Linked DNA regions of Elephas maximus indicus. The protein of the gene in region 2 binds, or shares a complex with, the protein of the main gene of each other region. Links are inferred from orthologs where the notes say so. Each region holds a gene or a part of one and is shown on either strand. Other genes may lie near its edges. The genes, in order: TAF1A and RRN3.

Region 1 (9,020 bases), on a different chromosome or scaffold from region 2:
AAGTCCATCAATTGATGAATGGATAAATAAAACGCGGTATAGGCATACAATGGAATATTATTCAGTCGTAAAAAGGAATAAAGTACTGATGCACGCTACAACATGCACGAATCTTGAAAACACTATGCTAAGTGAAAGAAGCCAGTCATAAAATACCATATATCAAATGGTTCCATTTGTATGAAGTGTCCAGAATATGCAAATCTAGAGACAGAAAAGAGATCAGCGATTGCCAGGGGCTGAGTATGGCGAGTGAGGAGTAACTGCTAAAGGGTGCAAGGATTCTTTTTAGAGGAATGAAAATGTTCTAAATTGATTGTAGTGATGGTTACACAACCCTGTGAATAAACTAAAAACAAAACAGTGAACTGACATCTTAATGGGTGAGCTGTATGTTACGGGAATTATATCTCAAATAAAGCTGATTAAAAACAGTGGGGGATCACTCTGATTGTTGTGCTGAAAATAGACAGGGGTGGGGAAGAGGGAAAGCAGTCATCCAGGTGAGGTGACAGTGGCTGGGAACAAGGTACAGCAAAGGAGGGGGTGAGAAGTACTTAGATTACAGTATTTTGAAGGTACAGCTAACAGGATTTTCTGATGGTTTGGTTAGGGAGTATGGGAGAGAAAAGGATGACTCCAGAATTTTCAGCCCTAGCAACTACATAAAGAAAAAATAAAGTAACCACCTGAAGTAAGGAAGATCGGGCTTAAGGGAGAAGACCAGAAGTTCCATTTCAGACACAGTATTTTTATTTTTTTTTTATAATATATTAGTTAGGATAATACGATCATTAAATATCCAAGTGGTGATGTGGGGTGTAGACAGCTGGATACAGGAATCTGGAAATAAACAGTGAAGTCAGGGCCAGAGATATAGGACTGAGACTCACGAGCAATAGATATTTAAGGTGATGAAACTGAATGAGATAATCAAGTGAGTAAACATCAGGAAGAGGACAAAGGATTGAGCCCTGGGGCACTCCCAAGCCAAAAGGCCAGGGAGAAGAGCAGCAACCAGAAAAGAGGACTGAAGAATAGTCAGTGAAGTAGGAGAGAAAATGAAGAGAAAGTGCAATATCCTAGAAGCCAAAGAGAGAAAATTGATCACACAGGAAGGAGTCACCTACTAACTGTTAATATTGCTGACAGATCAAGTTAGATGAGCACCAAGAACTGCTACTGGACTGAACAACATAGCAGTCATTGCTGACTTCGACTAAACAGTTCTGTTGAAATGGTGACGATGAGTGGAAAGGGTGTCTAACAGGAGAGGGTTTGGAGAGAACAGGTATATTCACCTCTTTCAAGGAGCTCTGCTGAAAGGGGGAGTTGAAAAATGAGGCATAGCTGGTGGAGGACGTGGGGGTGAGAGATGATTTTAATACTGAAGAAAAAACATATCTGTATGATGATGGGAAATATTCTGTAGAAAAGGAAAGAAGTGTTGGAATGATGAATATTGGAGAATTTAGAGCTCAAAGTATTTTTAGTCTCCTTTAAAATGAGAGTAAGTAAAAAGAAGTATACAAAAAATGTCCTGATACAATCTCTACACCCAAAGCTACTTCTAGTAGTTTTTGGTAACATCAATTTGGGAATCTACAAAGCTACTCTGGGTAAGCTCCAGAGGCAGAAACTCCCAGGGATCTAATATCTTCCAGCACACTTACACTTTGTTTACCTCAGGGGCAGCCTGCCTTTTGCCGGCATCTGAGTCTTCCAAGATCTGAAAATAACTATGCATATATTCCGCCGCTTTCTCCCACTGGTGTTTTAGCAGAGCTTCTTGGATCAAACCTAAACAAGCACTTGTTGTCTTGGCAAAATCCTTCTCCTTTTTTCCTCCAGTCTCTACAAAGATAAAAAGAAGACAGACTTTACCCGTAGTGACCCCCAATTCAATGATTCAAAAACTTTTGGCAAGCAAAATTTTTCACACGTAGAACCAAAACCAAAAACCATCAAGTCAATTCCGACTCATAGCGACCCTACAGGACAGAGTAGAACTTCCCAATAGGGTCTCCAAGAAGGACCTGGTAGATTCCAACTGCTGACCTTTTCGTTAACAAGTAGAATAGTAGGCGTTAACTGAATCAGCCCATCCTCAGTATCAAATCAGGTTCACTTGCAACAAACCCTTCCGTACTGTTATCAGCTAATAATAAGAATGCCTTATCTGATGTTCTTAAGTTACCAGTTGTTCTTGGGTTACCCTTCAAATCTGATTCAATCATCCTTTCATTCTCGCACTAAACAATCTTGGGAGCTCCCAGAGACTCCCAAAAGCACAGTTTCAGGTATTTAGAACAGGTATTAAAAATCATCAGAGTCATCCTATGCAAGCACGATCTTTATTACTTACCAACATTCTGAAAACTCCAAGAGGTAAGCTTTTAGGTTTTAAGGACTGAGTTTCAGCAACTCAATGATATGAAATGCAAATGAGATTAAAATAGTTGTAGATATTAGCATTTACATCTAAAGTATTGGCAATCAGCATGTGTGATAGTGAAGGTTGTGTGCCAACTTGTCTGGACCATGATTCTAAGTGGTATGGCAGTTACATAATGATGTAGTTTGGCAGTTATGTAATGATGTAATCATCCTCCATTTTTCTGCCTGATATAGTCATCCCCCATTTTGTGATCTGATATAAGCAGCCAATCAGTTGCAAAGGGAGTTTCCTTCACGGTGTGGCCTGGATCCAACATATACAGATGTTACAGCGAAGCTCCTGTGCTCTGGATCCTGCATCCGATTTGTCATTCTCTGACCTCTGGCCTGCCACCTGACCTACAGATCCTGGGATTCACCAGCTCCTGCAACCCCAAGTCAGCAGCCTTCTGCCCAATCTGCCGATTTTAGGTTCATCAGCCCCTGCAACCACGAGTCATGAGAAGCCTCCAGCATGATGCCTCACCCACAGATTTGGGATTTGCCACCCTCCACAACTGCATGAGCCATTTCCTTGAGACAAATCTCCCTGTGCATATATTTATGCATACACGCTTCATTAAAAACAGGAGGATCATCAACAAGATAAACTGACACAATGGCTCCAACAATGGACTCAAACATATCAATAACTGTGAGGATGGTACAGGACTGGGCAGGGTTTCATTCTGTTGTACATAGGGTCACTAGAAGTTGGAACTGACTCAATGGCACCTAACAACAACGTAACGTACGCATCACTGGTTTTGCTCCTCTAGAGAACGCAGCCTAAGACACCATGTTAAGAATGCATTTAGTTACAGACCTAATTTAAGAGTAACTTCCTACACTACAACACTCTAGGCTAACCCATTGCCGTCAAGCCTATTCCAACTCATAGCATCCCTATAGGATGGAGTAGAACTGTCCCATAGGGTTTCCAGGGAACAGGTGGTGGATTCAAAATGCTGACCTTTTGGTTTAGCAGCTAAGCATTTAACCACTGTGCCACCAGGGTTCTACTCTGTCTTATAGGGTCGTTAGGAGTCAGCATCAACTCGGTGGCAAAGGACTTGGTTTTTTCCCCTCTGATGGCTCTCTATGTCTGCTGCCTGTGGAAGGTGTCCTGGTTGTCTAGTGCTGCTCTAACAGAAATACCACAAGTGGACAGCTTTAACAAAGAGAAATTTATTTTCTCACAGTCTAGTAGGCTAGAAGTCCTAATTCAGGGTGTCAGCTCCAGGGGAAGCCTTTCTCTCTCTGTTGGCTCTGGAGGAAGGTCCTTGTCTTCAATCTTCCCCTGGACTAAGAGCTTCTCCCTGCGGGAACCTCAGGTCCAAAGTATGTGCTCTGCTCTAGGTGCTTCTTTCTTGGTGGTATGAGGTCCCCAACTCTCTGCTTGCTTCCCTTTCCTTTTATCTCTTGTAAGATAAAATGTGGTGCAGGCCACACTCCAGGGAAACTCCCTTTACGTTGGATCAGGGATGTGACCTGAGCAATGGTGTTACATCCCACCCTAATCCTCTTTAACATAAAATTACAACCACAAAATGGAGGACAACCACACAATACTGGGAATCATGGCCTAACCAAGTTGACACACATTTTTGAGGGACACGGTTCAAGCCACAACAGAAGGTCTCCTGCATACGGCTACCCAATGAAAACTTTGTTGTGCCAAACTTCAATCTCACGGTCACATCTTCTTCCTTGATTAGTCCTAATATCCCTCGAACTTACGACACTGCCACAATACAGACTATTTACTGTTAATTCAAAGGAAAAGAACTCTACAAGAGAAAAAATCTATGTTTTTTTTACAGTTTATTTTCTTTTCTCATGGCTAGAAAAAAATCTCACATATTCCCATCTTGAAAACGGAAGCTCTTCCCAGCCTGATTCTTCATTTTGTATCCACATTGAACCTTACCATCTCCTTGCATCAGGTTAAAATGGTTAGATGTTATTTTACTTACCCACAGTTTCCATTTGCTTTCGGAGCCAAGGAATAGACATTCCTGTACCAGAGAGCATTGATTTTTCCACCTGATCAGCCTCGGCCATAGGCCTCGTCAATTCGCCACTGAAGTCACTCATACCTATTCCAAACTGGGAATACGTGCACCTTAATCCATAGGCTTTTGAGTTATACCAAAAAAAAAAAAAAAAAAAGCCATCTAATAAATATCATTTACTCAGCAGAATTCACTGTACTTCATAGTTCCTTTAAAGTAAAAAATGAATTTAATTATATCAGTAACAGCCAAAACATATGGTCCTTTTGATAAAAAAACTCAGTAACTACTATGTGCCAAGAATATACAAATATAAATGATACTGTTTAAAAAAAAAAAACCTAGTCTAGAGAAACAGAAAAGTACATAATAAAACAATATAACAAGCATGATAGTAACAGTAGTAGCACTTGCCTAAATTTTTTAAATCCTTACTATATGCCAAACCCATTGCCACTCAGTTGATTCTAACTCATAGCAGCCCTATGGGACAAAGCAGAACTGTCCCCCATAGGGTTTCCAAGGAGCAACTGCTGGATTCAAACTGCCAACCTTTTGAGTAGCAGCTGCAGCTATTAACCACTGTGCCACCAGGGCTCCTACTATATGCCAGGCATATAAATTATCTAATCTAATCCTAAATTAAATAACAGCAATCCTAAAGAGAGAATATCGGAGAAATATTTGGAGGTAGCATCAACAGTACCTAATAACTGACTGCACATGGGGAATTAGGGAGAGGTACCCTGGTGGCTTAGCGCTTAAGTACTACGGCTGCTAACCAGGAGGCTGGCAGTTCAAATCCACCAGGCACTCCTTGGTAACTATGGGGCCGTTCTACCCTGTCCTATAGGGTTGCTATGAGTTCGAATCCACTCAACACCAGTGGGGTGTTTTTTTTTTCTACCCTGAGCATCTTCAGGATCAAGTCCAAAGTCAGCCTGGCATATGATTATCTTTCCAGGTTCCTCTCTCACGGTCAGTTCTACCTTTCGCATCCCTCCTTCACACAAGCCCCCAAACTCTAGCCCTGACAAGCAGTTTGACGTTCTTCCTACTTCCTAAAAGTAGCCACTCAGTTTCTTCAACATTAAAATGGAGGAAAATAATTAGTGAAGGTAACTACGCTGCCCAATGTCACAAGAAGGATGAGGGCGACATTTCAGGAAATAGAAGTAACATCAAACAGCTTGACAGGGCTGGAGTTGGGGGTGTGGGGGTGTGGAGGAGGGCAGCGGAAGGCAGTTGGAACTGATGGTGAGAAAGGAACCTAGAAAGATAGTCACATGACAGGCTGGGTTTGGACTTGATCCTGAAGATGCTTAATTCTCCATATCCAATCAATTATTAGGTACTCTTGACACAACCAGGAAACCCTGGTGGTGTAGTGGTTAAGTGCTACAGCTGCTAACCAAAAGGCTGGCAGTTCGAATCCACCAGGTGCTCCTTAGAAACTCTACGGGGCAGTTCTATTCTGTCCTGTGGGGTCGCTATGAGTCGGAATCGACTCGACGGCAACGGGTAACGGTAAAAACGCTGCCTCAAATTTTGCCTCTTCACAATACAGCCAAATTTTGCCTCTTCACAATACAGCCACACTAAACTTTGCAAAACCTAATTCTGCAGTTAGGAACAAGGGTTTTATATAAGATCTAAATTTGAGTCCGACCACCAGCTGTATTTTAAAGGGGTCGTTACAGAAGAGCTCCCTTCTCAAATTCGCAGACCCAAAATGTTGTCCCGCAGTTATCACGGTAACTAAAGCTTTTCCACCTCCTCTCACTTGTTCTTAGAATTGAAGGTTCCAGGGTATCTGGAGAAAATATTAGAAGAGCACGGATGAACCCTAGCACAAGCGATGAACGAGGGACATCGTGCGGGACATTTACCTGTCTGCTGCTCTCGCCTCCTCTTTCGCGGAACAGCGTTGGAGAACCGGAACCGGAAGTGACGCCGGCCACCGCTTCTTGTGAGCATGCGCAAAATCGGCCGCCGGCGCTCTGGCGCCTCGTGACGCAACCCCCCCCACCTCTAACAACCACTTCGGCTGTGACGTCATCGCCGCTATTCGACCCCGGAAGTGACTGAAACCGACGCGCCCCTGGTGGCTTGTCTCCGGATGTATGTTGTTGTTACCTGCAGCCGGAGAGTGGGAAAATTTAATTGCAAATGGGGATTAGGCAACAGGAGAGCAACTGGTTGGGAGGAACAGTCAAAAATGCAGAATGTCACTTTACTCGAGTTCTTTACTCTGCGATGACCGTTCGGTTTCTGCTGGGCTTAGGTGCACTGCGCTACCGGAGGCTGGCTGCTGGCATTACAAGATAGATTGTTGCATATTCTTTACTTTCTTAAGAGCTCTTTTCTTTTTTATTAAAGTTTAAGTGTCTCTGACTACTTCACCATAATTTGAGCTAGAATCTCGTTTTTCTTCTCAACGGGGGCTGTTCTGCGTACGTGTTTAGGGCCACCTTTCATGAAGGACACTGACAAACCTATATGAAATAGGGATCGGGTTGGAAGTAAGACGGTTAAACTATGTAAAATAATAGACAGTTGAGGGGTTGTAGAGATGACGATCTGGGAAAAGCAGAGACACGTGGGAATACACTGTATGTCTCCAGTGTTTGGACAGCTGATCTGTGAAAGAAGGCTTCAACTACCTTTTCATAGCATCAGAGTACAGAACTAGCACTAACAGGTGAAAGCTAAAGGAGGGCAGCTTTAAAGTCATTCCAAGAAAGAATTTTGTTCACACCTAAGCCTGCACAAATAATGACATAGGCTCCCCCCAGGAACCTTGGGGTTTCTCCTCCCAAAAGAGTGAACCATTTGGGCAGAATCAAGATATTATAGAGGAAATTAAAGGATCTAGGAAGACCAAGGGAGAAGTGATGCCTTTGAATTATGGTGTTGGCAAAGAATACTGAATATACCATGGACTGCCAGAAGAATGAACAAACCTGTCTTGGAAGGACTGCCAGAATGTTTCTTAGAAGCAAGGATGGCGAGACTGCCTCCCATAACTTGAGCATGTTACCAGGAGGGACCAGTCCCTGGAGAAGGACATCATGCTTGGCAAAGTGGAGGGTGAGTAAAAAAGAGGAAGACCATCAATGAGATGGATTGACACAGCAGGCTGCAACAGTGGGCTGAAGCATAGTAAAGATTGTGAGGATGGGGCGGGACTGGGCAGTGTTTTGTTCTCTTGTACACAGGGTCGTTATGAGCTGGAACTGACTTGCCGGCAGCTAAGAACAACAACAGTAACACCTTATACATGGACTCCTTGAAATGCTATGAATACTTGGTTCTGTGTTGTCTTAGTAAACACTGCAATAGTTACGGACTTGCAAGAAAAGTTCCTCCTGCTGCCCCTTGTGTCATAAGTGCTTGGCCCCACATAAGCCTGTGCCCAAGCTTCCCAGGGCAGGGATGACCTAAATCACAGTGTGGTCCAGGAGGGCACACACACAAAAGAACATAGCCATTAGCCTCTAGTCTATAGCCTTGGTCAGTCTGTATTTATTCCTTTGCCGTGACATATAACATAAAATATCAATATTAACAGGAGTTTGGAAGAAGTTGATTCCAGCCCTCATGGATGACTTCGAGGGGTTCAAGACTTTAGTGGAGGAAGTAACTGCAGATATGGTGGAAATAGCAAGAGAACTAGAATTAGAAGTAGCACCTGAAGATGGACTGAATGGCTGTAATCTCATGATAAAACTTTAATGGATGAAGAGTTGCTTCTTACGATTAGCCGAGAAAGAGTTTTCTTGAGATGGGATCTACTCCTGGTGAAGATGCCACGAACATTGTTAATCACAACAAAGGATTTACAATATTACATAAACTTAGTTGATAAAGCAGTGGCAGGGTTTGAGAGGATTGACTCCGATTTTGAAAGAAGTTCTACCGTGCGTAAAATGTTATCAGACAGCATTATGTGCTACAGAGAAATCTTTTGTGAAAGGAAGAATCAGTCAATGCAGCACATTTCACGACTGTCTTATTTGAAGAAGTTGTCACAGCCACCCGGAGCAGTCAGCAGCTGTCAACATCAAGGCAAGACCCTTCACCAGCAAAAGACCCTTCACGGCTCACTGAAGGCTCAGATGACGATTAGCATTTTTTAGCAATAAAGTATTTTTTAATTAAGGTATGTATATTGTTTTTTTAGATGTAATGCTGTTGCACACTTAATAGACTACAGTATAGTGTGAACATAACTTTTACATGCACTGGGAAACCAAAAATTTTGTGCGACTTACTTTATTGCAATATTTGCTGTATTGCGGTGGTCTGGAACCCAATGCGCAATATCTCCAAGGTATGCCTGTATACATGGCTAGAAATTCATACTGTCACAAAAATGGAGAAAGAATATCTGGTTTTCCTTAAAGTTCTTCAACACCTCTCGGCCACAGTACATAAAAGAGGGAAAGTAAAGAATGACTATCATTATGTGCCCTACCTTCCTCTTGTCTTTCTCATGGTATCACTCTGGTAAAAATTTATGGACCATATTATGTCTAAGCTAATATTATAAACAAGATAAAAAAGGAA
Region 2 (9,020 bases):
AGGCTTTATGGGGGCTGGTTCATAACTAGAGGTTGTAAGTTTCTAACCCGGGGACTGCCTGTAAACCCAAATTTCAGTCACCATGGTATATTAACTGTAATTGCATAAGATACAAACTTCACTGCTAGCTGTTCAATCCACCACTCACTACATAAGTAACAGATGTACATCATTACAGGGACAAATAACATCACTTCTTTCAAAGTCCAACTACGACTGGTCACTACAAAGTCTTTCCAAGTCCAGCTACAATTGTTCACTACACATTATTCAGTTCATACACAGATAACAAAATGTACTCTAGCTGTGTTACTTGTCTCCCAATGATTAATCCATGAGACGCTACAAAAATGTATAATCAAAAAAGGGAGTTGGCCAACAAAGAAAGTAAAGAAATGACATGTAATAAGGCTGCAAGTGAAATACAAATTGACTGTAAATGGAGTTAAAGAAGAAACAGCTGCCCCCACTGCCGCACCAGTTGAGAACTCTGGATATGCAGCCGAAAGAACTCGGTGAAGGTAGACTTACCAACCTGGATATAAAATATACTGTAAAGACTATTCTTTCCAAATTTGGGCAGTGAAGGAAAAAAAGGGAGCCAAAATTTACTGAGTTGTTATTACATGACAGGTATATACTTTCAACTTGTCAACGGTGAACATGCAGTAGTAGCTTCAAAGACAAGTCATTTTTCTTTGTGGTTTTTGTTTTATCTTAGCACTGGAAACTTGAGACTTGCATGCCAGGAGAGAGGAAAAAGATGCGATAAAGAAAGGGATTAAACAAGGGTTTCCCAACCTCAGCACCACTGACATTTGGGCCAGAAAATACTTCGTTGTAGAGGGCTTTCCTGTGTGTTGTAGGATATTCAGCAGCATTCCTGTCATCTACCCACTAAATGCCAGTAACACTTTCCTTTCCCAGCTAGGACAACCACAAGTAACTCCAGGCACTGCCAACTATCCCCTACAGAATAAAACTGCCCCGACTGTGAACCACTGTATAAGAAGGAGCTGAAGAGAGCAAATTCTAGAGGATGAAATGGACCAAAAGTGCAAACTACCGTCTGTACAAAGTGGCAATAACACTGCTAATGACCAAACGCAAAATTAATTACCTTTATGTCTGGATCTGACAGCTGGTTCTTCAACAACTCAAAGTCATTTGTTTCACCCTTAACGAGAAGAGAAAAAAATGAGGTTATGTTTGTTTCAGGGCTTTGAACAAGATCCCCAGGTGATTCTTATGTATACACATCCCAAATCACCTGGGGATCCTGTTAAAATGTAGATTCTGATTCAGTATGTCTACAGTGGAATGGCAAATTCTCATCAGGGGCTGAACCAAAACGAACTGGTCAAAGCCCTGGTTTGCTCTCGTTTCCTATTAAAGATCAACAGCAGGACTCTTAACTATACCTTAATATCTTCCGAAATTACAAAAGGAATAATATAATTTCCACACATCAATTGAGGATTATAAAATCAAGACTACAAAAGTTTAAAAACTAATGTTAGTGGAGCCAGGCAGCTTGGAAAAAAGGACAACTGAAAAACCATTCACATTTACTTAAGATATATACTTGTGTACTGATATTTGATTATGATAGTTTGTACTCTGAGAATTCTCAAAATGAGAAAAAAAATCACTATATCTCATTCAGGACACCCTGGTGGTATAGTGGTTAAGTGCTATGGCTGCTAGCCAAAAGGTCAGCAGTTCGAATTCACCAGGTACTCCTTGGGAACTCTATGCGGCAGTTCTACTCTGTCCTATAGGGTCGCTATGAGTCAGAACTGACCGACAGCAACGGGTTTTTTTTTTTATATCTAATTCAGGGGGAATGAAAATATGATTCACATATATGGCTATAAATTGATATCATGTACACAAATGGATAGTCATCTATATTTTCCCCTCCATCACTGAGATCTAACAGCATTACTTCTAAACAACTGCAAAAACAAATTCCAAAAAAAAAAAAACACAACAAAAACGTCTTTCTGCAAAGCTGGTTTATTGTTTCAAAGTAATGCTCAGGTAATTCCTTAGGAAGATAAAATGCTCTGATCTAATGGTTTTTTACTCAAGCATAGATAAAAAAAAAATGTGTAAATATAACATTTGAAGAGGTGAAACCTCAGCAAAGACTTGTTATTACTCTAATTTTGAGCTGTTATGAAATAGCTTCAAGGCCGATACCAAAAACTCATTTCATTATGCCTATTGATCTTTGGAAACCCTGATGGCATAGTGGTTAAGTGCTATGGCTGCTAAGCAAAAGCTCAGCAGTTCGAATCCACCAAGCACTCCTTGGAAGCTCTATGGGGTAGTTCTACTCTGTCCTATAGGGCTGCTATAAATTGGAATCAACTCGATGGCAATGGGTTTTTATTGGTCTTTAGTATAAAAGCTGTGGGTGTATTCTGACCCACATAAACCAGTCCTCACACGTTATCTCTTCCTTTACCTTTTTGTACTTCAGCAAGACTTCTGTCACAGTTCCACCAAACCGAACTGTTTTTCTTGGGGGAGAATTGAAGAAATCATTCTCTAATGTGAGCATATCTGAAATCCTGTAGAACAAAGATTATCAAATGATTAATTTCATGACAGAGAATAATAAAAATTATAATAGCCAACATTAACTGAGGTTAAGCCCTGGTAGCGCAGTGGTTAAGAGCTCAGCTGCTAACCAAAAGGTCAGCAGTTCATATCTACCAGCTCTCCTTGGAAACCCTATGGGGCAGTTCTACTTTGTCCTATACGGTAGCTATGAGTCAGAGTTGACTTGATGGCAACCAACATCATTCAATGGGACTACTCCAAAAGCCTAAACAGTCTCCCTGCTTCCCCTCTTGCCCCCAATAATTCATTCTTCACTGAGCAGCCAGACTTGTTTCAGACAGTTAAAACAGACTGTGCCACACTGTTCTCCTGTTGAACTCTCCAATGCCTTATTGCTGCACTTAGAATAAAAATCCAGACTCCTTACTGTGGCCTTCAAGATCCTACATTAATCTGGCCCTTGCCCACCTCTCTGACCTCATCTCTGACCACTTGCTACACTGTGGCCATACTGCTCTTTCTGTTCTTCACACTTGACAAGCTGATTCTCATTTCGCTCCGGCAAACCAGTATCTGTACAAAGTGGTAATAACTTTGTATCTATCAAAAACACTTTCTCTTTTTTGTCTTCATTCAAGTTGCCGCTCAAATGTGAGAAAGCCCATCCCCACAAGAATTCTAAAGTGCCCACCCTCTTCCTCCTCCATCACTGTTTTATTTCTTCACAGTACTTAGCACTATCTGATATCATTCTGTTCATTTATTTATTGGTATGTTTACTGCCTTTCTGCCCCAGATTGTAAACTTGTTTCCAGCAGGCACCTTGTCTTTTGATTGACTACTGTCCCCAGTAACTAATGTAGTAAGTATGTGCTCAATAAATATCCTGTGATAGCATGCTAAGTGTTTCACAAACTTCGCCTTATTGAAACAGAGCAGATTAGTGACAAAACATTCATTCCTACCAATGAATCTCAAAGTTAAATCTCAAAATGTTCTAAGTTGGCTGGAAGCTTTACAAGAGCTGAATAAAGACTGTTAAACAAATGTGTCACACCAATTTAAAACAAGAAAAAATATTTTAGGACGTAATTTACCCGCACTGATAGCATTTATCTGATAATCCACATAGCCCAGGGAATTCGTTCCAAATCTAGACTAGGGAAGGTGGAAAGTGACTGATGGCAGTATCCAGGCCAGGGACGCTATGAGGGAGACCAGTGAGGAGAAAGGAGGCCCCCGGAACAGAGAAGGGGCTCATTTATTTTTCCAACGCCCCCTCCCGCCTCCATCAGCCACTTCGGGGGAATAAATCACTCTGGAAGACCTGAGTTGACTCACTGGCCCCTGCTCCCACCCCACTTCATCAGCTTTGCGTCTTTCATATCCGCTGCCCCAACCCCGGGCCTGGGCTTTAGTCCCTAACGCTCAAAAGGAAGGGGGACTTCGACCCTTACCCAGTCCTCGCGGCCCCCAGCGTCTTGACCGCAGAGGCCGAAGCGGCCACATCCCCGGGCAACCGCGTGTGAAGTAGCGGCGCCGCCATTGGCCCGCACAAGCTCCACTGCTGCGCCTCGCGCCGGAAGTCGTCCTGCCTCCAGCTACCGCCTCCGTACCGGAAGCCGCGGGCGCGTAAGCGACAGACTTCGGCCAATGAGGGAGCCCAGGAGAGGAGAGCAAGGCGATGTCGGCGGGCTAGAGCGCCGCCAAGTCTCCCCCTCAGCCCTTCAGCCCCGCCTCCCAGCCGCCCCTCCTAATTTGAAGATTTTGTCTGCCCAGTGAGGCGGGAAACGCCGAGGGTGGCCTTAAAAACGGGGGGCAGCGGCTTCTTCTAGCCAAAACCAAAGTAACAAACCCATTGCTGCCCGGTTGATTCACACCCATGGCAACCCCATGTGTTACAGAGTAGAACTGAGGTCACTGGGTTTTCTTGGCTGTAACCTTTACGGAAGCATGTCGCCAGGCCTTTCTTCTGTGGCTCTGCAGGGTGAATTCCAACTGCCTACCTCTGATCCAGCAGAAACAGCTTGCGCCACCCAAGGAGCTCCTTTTAACACTGAGGATCCCAAAGGAAGACGGAGGGCGCTGGGAGGGGCTAAGCAGTCGCTGGGTTCCACTGAGTATTAAAACATTCTTTAGTCAAAGCACTTCTACAAACATGATAATTGAGCATAAATGCGGAAACTGAGGCCCTGTGAGTAACTCAAACCCTCACAGAGAAAAGGGGTGGCCAAGAATGAGAGCCAGGTTGCGTGACCAAGGACCCTGGGCTCTATAACCTCCGCACTATCCTCACAGGCGCCCGAGATAATCTTATCCACAAGGAAACTGAGTCTTGGCAAGTGACTTACTCTAAACTCTCAGAGCTGTGAGTGGTGATGCTGGAATGAGAAATGGGGCAAAGGCAGTTTCCAAGAGGTGTTAACCTTTGAACTTGAAGTTTTAAAGGAGGAACAGTAGCTAGCCAACCTAACAAAGCAGCTGAGTGGTGGTCGTGGAAGTGGTTAAGTGCTTGACTACTAGCCACAAAGGTTGGCGGTTTGAACTCAGACCTACCCAGAGGCTCCTGGAAAGAAAGGCCTGGTGATCTGCTTCTGAAAGGTCGCAGCCTCGAAAGCCCTAAGGAGCTATTCTGCACACATGGGGTGGTCCTGAGTCAGAATGGACTAGATGGCAACTAACAACAGAGAACAGTAGGTGCCAAAGCATGGAGGGGAGGAGGCAAAGGTAAAGGAGGGACTGTCCCTCCCCTCAATACTAAGGGGCGGTTACAGCTAATATAATTGTTAGGTATAAAGGGCAATTCTGTTTTGCAACAGTGTAAAATAGTAACTGTCTTTCTGCTGTCTCTATTCAGTCCCACCACCATTTCTTCCCTCACTGCTTCAGAGTTTCTGGGGAATGTTGGGCAGAAGTCAACAACGTCCGAAGAGCAGAGGAAGTGATTGTGCCCTAGTTGGCAAGGACGCTTCAAGACAGCTGTTTAAGTGGGAATTTCTTCCTTTCCTCCTCCAAAGGAAAAGAAAAAAAAGCTGTTTTAATCACAGTTCATCAGTACTCTCATACACTGAGTGGAAGAGTAACTTTGTACTGTCAAGCAATTTGACAAATACTTTATTCTTTCGTTTTAAAAAGTTGATATGTACAAAAGAATATGTTAATATAAACTACAAAACATAATAAATGAACACCTGTGAAAGTACCACCCAATTTAAGAAACAGACCGTTAACCTAAATGATTGAAACTTCCTGTGTGCTCCTTCCAGGCCCCACCTTCTCCCTGCTTTCCTCCCAAAGGTCATCACTATCCTGATTTTTTAAAATTATACTTTGTTTTATTCCTAAACCACAAAATTAAACAATGTTTAGTTTTATAAAATTGAAAAATTTTATACAATTATTTCCAAGGTGTATCACACTGCTGCTTGCTTATTTCAATCAACAATATGCTTCTAAAATCCATCCCTGTTGTATATAGTTGTGGTTTATTTTCTCTGGCCTATTCAAAAAACCAAATCCATTGCCAACCCGTTGATTCCCATTCCATTATATGAATTACAATTTATTTATCCACTCTATCACTAGACATTCATAGTTTCTTTTTTTTTTAATTTGTGCTATCCTGTACGTTACTGCTATGAGTATTCCTGTATAGTTGTCTGATGCACATGCGTAAGCATTTTTCTAGGGCAGGGTTGTTGGTTTGGAAAGAGACAAAGAGCTTCCAGCAGTATCTTCTTCTCCTTAAGCTTGAGCACAGCTCCTTCCTTATTCTCCTAAAGCTCAGCTAAGACCAGGCTTCCATGTTTAACATAAAATTTAAATGGAAGCCTGAGAATAATACAAGAAAAAAACTTAAAACCAAATAGTATAATTCATTATTTGGGTTCTTTGACATGCTCCTTCACTGGGGAATCACTACTTAGTCCCCTTGGACATGGGCCAACCCATCTTCCCAGGATAAAAGTCTCCTTCATCCAGTCTTGCCTTCCCTAGAGCCCTATCTTCCCTTGTCTCCAGCCCTAATCAGAAAAAATAAAGAGACCTCTCTCCTCTCACCTCCCCCCCGAAAAAGATGCAGCCTTGGCCAATGTAGCCACCCTTTTATATCACTGTGCATCACGGTTGTTCCTAATTGTTCCGAGCTTCTTCATTCCAGAATGAATTTTTGCTTTACTTTCATATACCCAGAAGACCGATTAAACTGTTTTTTTTTTTAAAAGAGCAGTTGTGCCCTAGAGATGAATTCTGCAACCATCCCTAGAGCAATATATAATACTGTTGGTTAAACCTCTTGGCTAGCAGTAACAGAAACTAACTGGAGTTAGCTTAAGCATAAAAGTGTATACGAAGTTGTCTGTTTATTTGGTACAATGAAGTATATTAATTCATATAATGGGGAAAGAAGAAATTATCACTAACAGGATTACTTAAAAAATTTTTTTTTATTTGGAATTGGTTGATTTGCTTATAGAATTTCACCCTTTAGAGCCTAGAGTCACATGGAGCAGGATTCAAATTCCAGCTTTTTCATTTACTCTGTGACTTTGGGCAACTACTTTAAATTCTCAGAACCGGTTTCCTTACCTATAAAATGAGAATAGTAATTTACTTTTTGAGCTATTTTAGAGCTCAAGTTCGAATTTCTAAGAAGATGCTTTTTGTTTGTTTTTTAAGGAGGCTGTTTATAATGCAGAACCCTGGTGGCACAGTGGTTAAGAACTTGGCTGCTAACCAAAATGTCAGCAGTTTGAATCTACCAGCTACTCCTTGGAAACCCCATGGGGCAGTTCTACTCTGTCCTATAGGGTTGCTATGAGTAGGAATCAACTCAACAGCAACAGGTTTGGTTTGAGTTTGATATTTATAATGCAGTGAAATGATAATTACAGTGATTTGATGGAAAGAGGACTCACACTCAGGGCTGTCCAGCCTCTGCCACTAACTAGCTATGTGATCTTAGGCAGTCTGCTTAGGATTTTTGTTAGTTTCCTTGGGGGAGGGACTGGACTAAATGACCACTGGGTTTCTTAAGATCAAAGGTTAATCATTAACAGCTGACCAAGGTCCATATTTATTATTGCATAAAAAATTATTAAATTGGTTTCTGTTTACAGTGATGGAAAAACCTGCATTGATTAAGGGTAGGGTTGCACAGCCAATTAATGTAATTGATTCCAATTAGTTGTATACCTGTAAAAAGTTGAATTGGCAAAAAAAGGAAAAAAATTAAATTGGAAATAACCAAATTGTCCATCAATAACAGGCTAAATTAACTATGATATATCCACTCAATAGAATATTATATATTCATAAAAAAATAAGCGCTTTCATTCCCAAAATGGAAAGATCTCCAAGATGTATTAAGTGAAAAAGCAAGCTGCTTAACAATATGTGAACACTGGAATATATACTTTTACAATATACATGTGTATGTGTGTTTATGAGAAAAGATTTAGAAGCAACTAACAAAATTTAATGTCTGTCAGTAGGAGAATGGTGCTGGGGATTTGGAGTGGCAGGGGATTTACTATATACCATTTTATGCTTTTTGAGTTATATCACATAGAAATGAGGAGCCCTGGTGGTACAGTGGTTAAAGTGCTTGGCTGATAACCCAAAGGTCAGCGGTTCAAACCTCCCAGCTGCTCTGCAGGAGAAAGATGTGGCAGTCTACTTCTGTAAAGATTTACAGCCTTAGAAACTCTATGGGGCAGTTCAACTCTGTCCTATAGGTCACTATGAGTTGGAACTGACTCGACAGCAGTGGGTTTGGTTTTGGGGAATATAGAGATGTATTACCCTACTCAAAGAACTAAAATTTAAAAAATTGTCCATTCTATAAAAGCATTTTAAAATCTGGAAAAAAAAATCAGGAAAGTTTAATGTCTTAAAAATACGTAAACATGTATATTCATTAAGAAGATCAAAGTGACTTTTATTTTTCTTTCAAGGTGACCATCTTCTGCTCCTAGGCATATTGTAGGTACTGCCGGAGGTTCATTAATTACAGTTCTTAAGAACCACCTCTATTTACCCAAGATAAAATCCAATCTTTTTTTTTTTAATAATATTTTATTGTTTTTGGTGAAGGTTTACACATGAGTTTAGGTTCCTATTTAACAATTTCTACAGAAAGTTGTTCAGTGACATTGGTTACATTCTTCACAATGCGTGAACATTCTCAGTATTTTCATTCTGCTTGTTCTGTTTCCATTAGTCAAGTTTCCCTGCATCCTTACATTCTCATTTTTGTTTTAAAATAATTGATGACCATTTGGTCTCATAAAGGTGATCTTTTTAAAGGAGCACAGTACTTACAGGTAATACTGATTATTTTTTGAGCCAATTTGTTATTTAGCTACAAGGTGACCTCAAGGGTTAGTTTCGGATCAAGGTTTGAAAAGTATCTCAGGGAAATAGTCTTAGGGAGACCTCCAGTCTCAACC

The links.
Region 1: RRN3 (region 2) and TAF1A share a complex: the UniProt entries of both Homo sapiens proteins name them as parts of the pol I pre-initiation complex. The link is inferred for Elephas maximus indicus from reciprocal best matches to the Homo sapiens genes RRN3 and TAF1A.

Annotation. Positions count from the first base shown.
Region 1 is NC_064842.1:12,221,245-12,230,264, forward strand, and holds the start of TAF1A (TATA box-binding protein-associated factor RNA polymerase I subunit A), read right to left. Parts: upstream 6,405-9,020; 5' UTR 6,341-6,404; intron 4,575-6,340; 5' UTR 4,534-4,574; coding exon 4,413-4,533; intron 1,855-4,412; coding exon 1,685-1,854; intron 745-1,684; exon of another isoform or gene 1-744. UniProt on the Homo sapiens protein: Component of the transcription factor SL1/TIF-IB complex, which is involved in the assembly of the PIC (pre-initiation complex) during RNA polymerase I-dependent transcription.
Region 2 is NC_064830.1:75,844,484-75,853,503, reverse strand, and holds the start of RRN3 (RNA polymerase I-specific transcription initiation factor RRN3), read right to left. Parts: upstream 4,172-9,020; 5' UTR 4,118-4,171; coding exon 4,029-4,117; intron 2,580-4,028; coding exon 2,474-2,579; intron 1,178-2,473; coding exon 1,121-1,177; intron 1-1,120. UniProt on the Homo sapiens protein: Required for efficient transcription initiation by RNA polymerase I (Pol I). Required for the formation of the competent pre-initiation complex (PIC).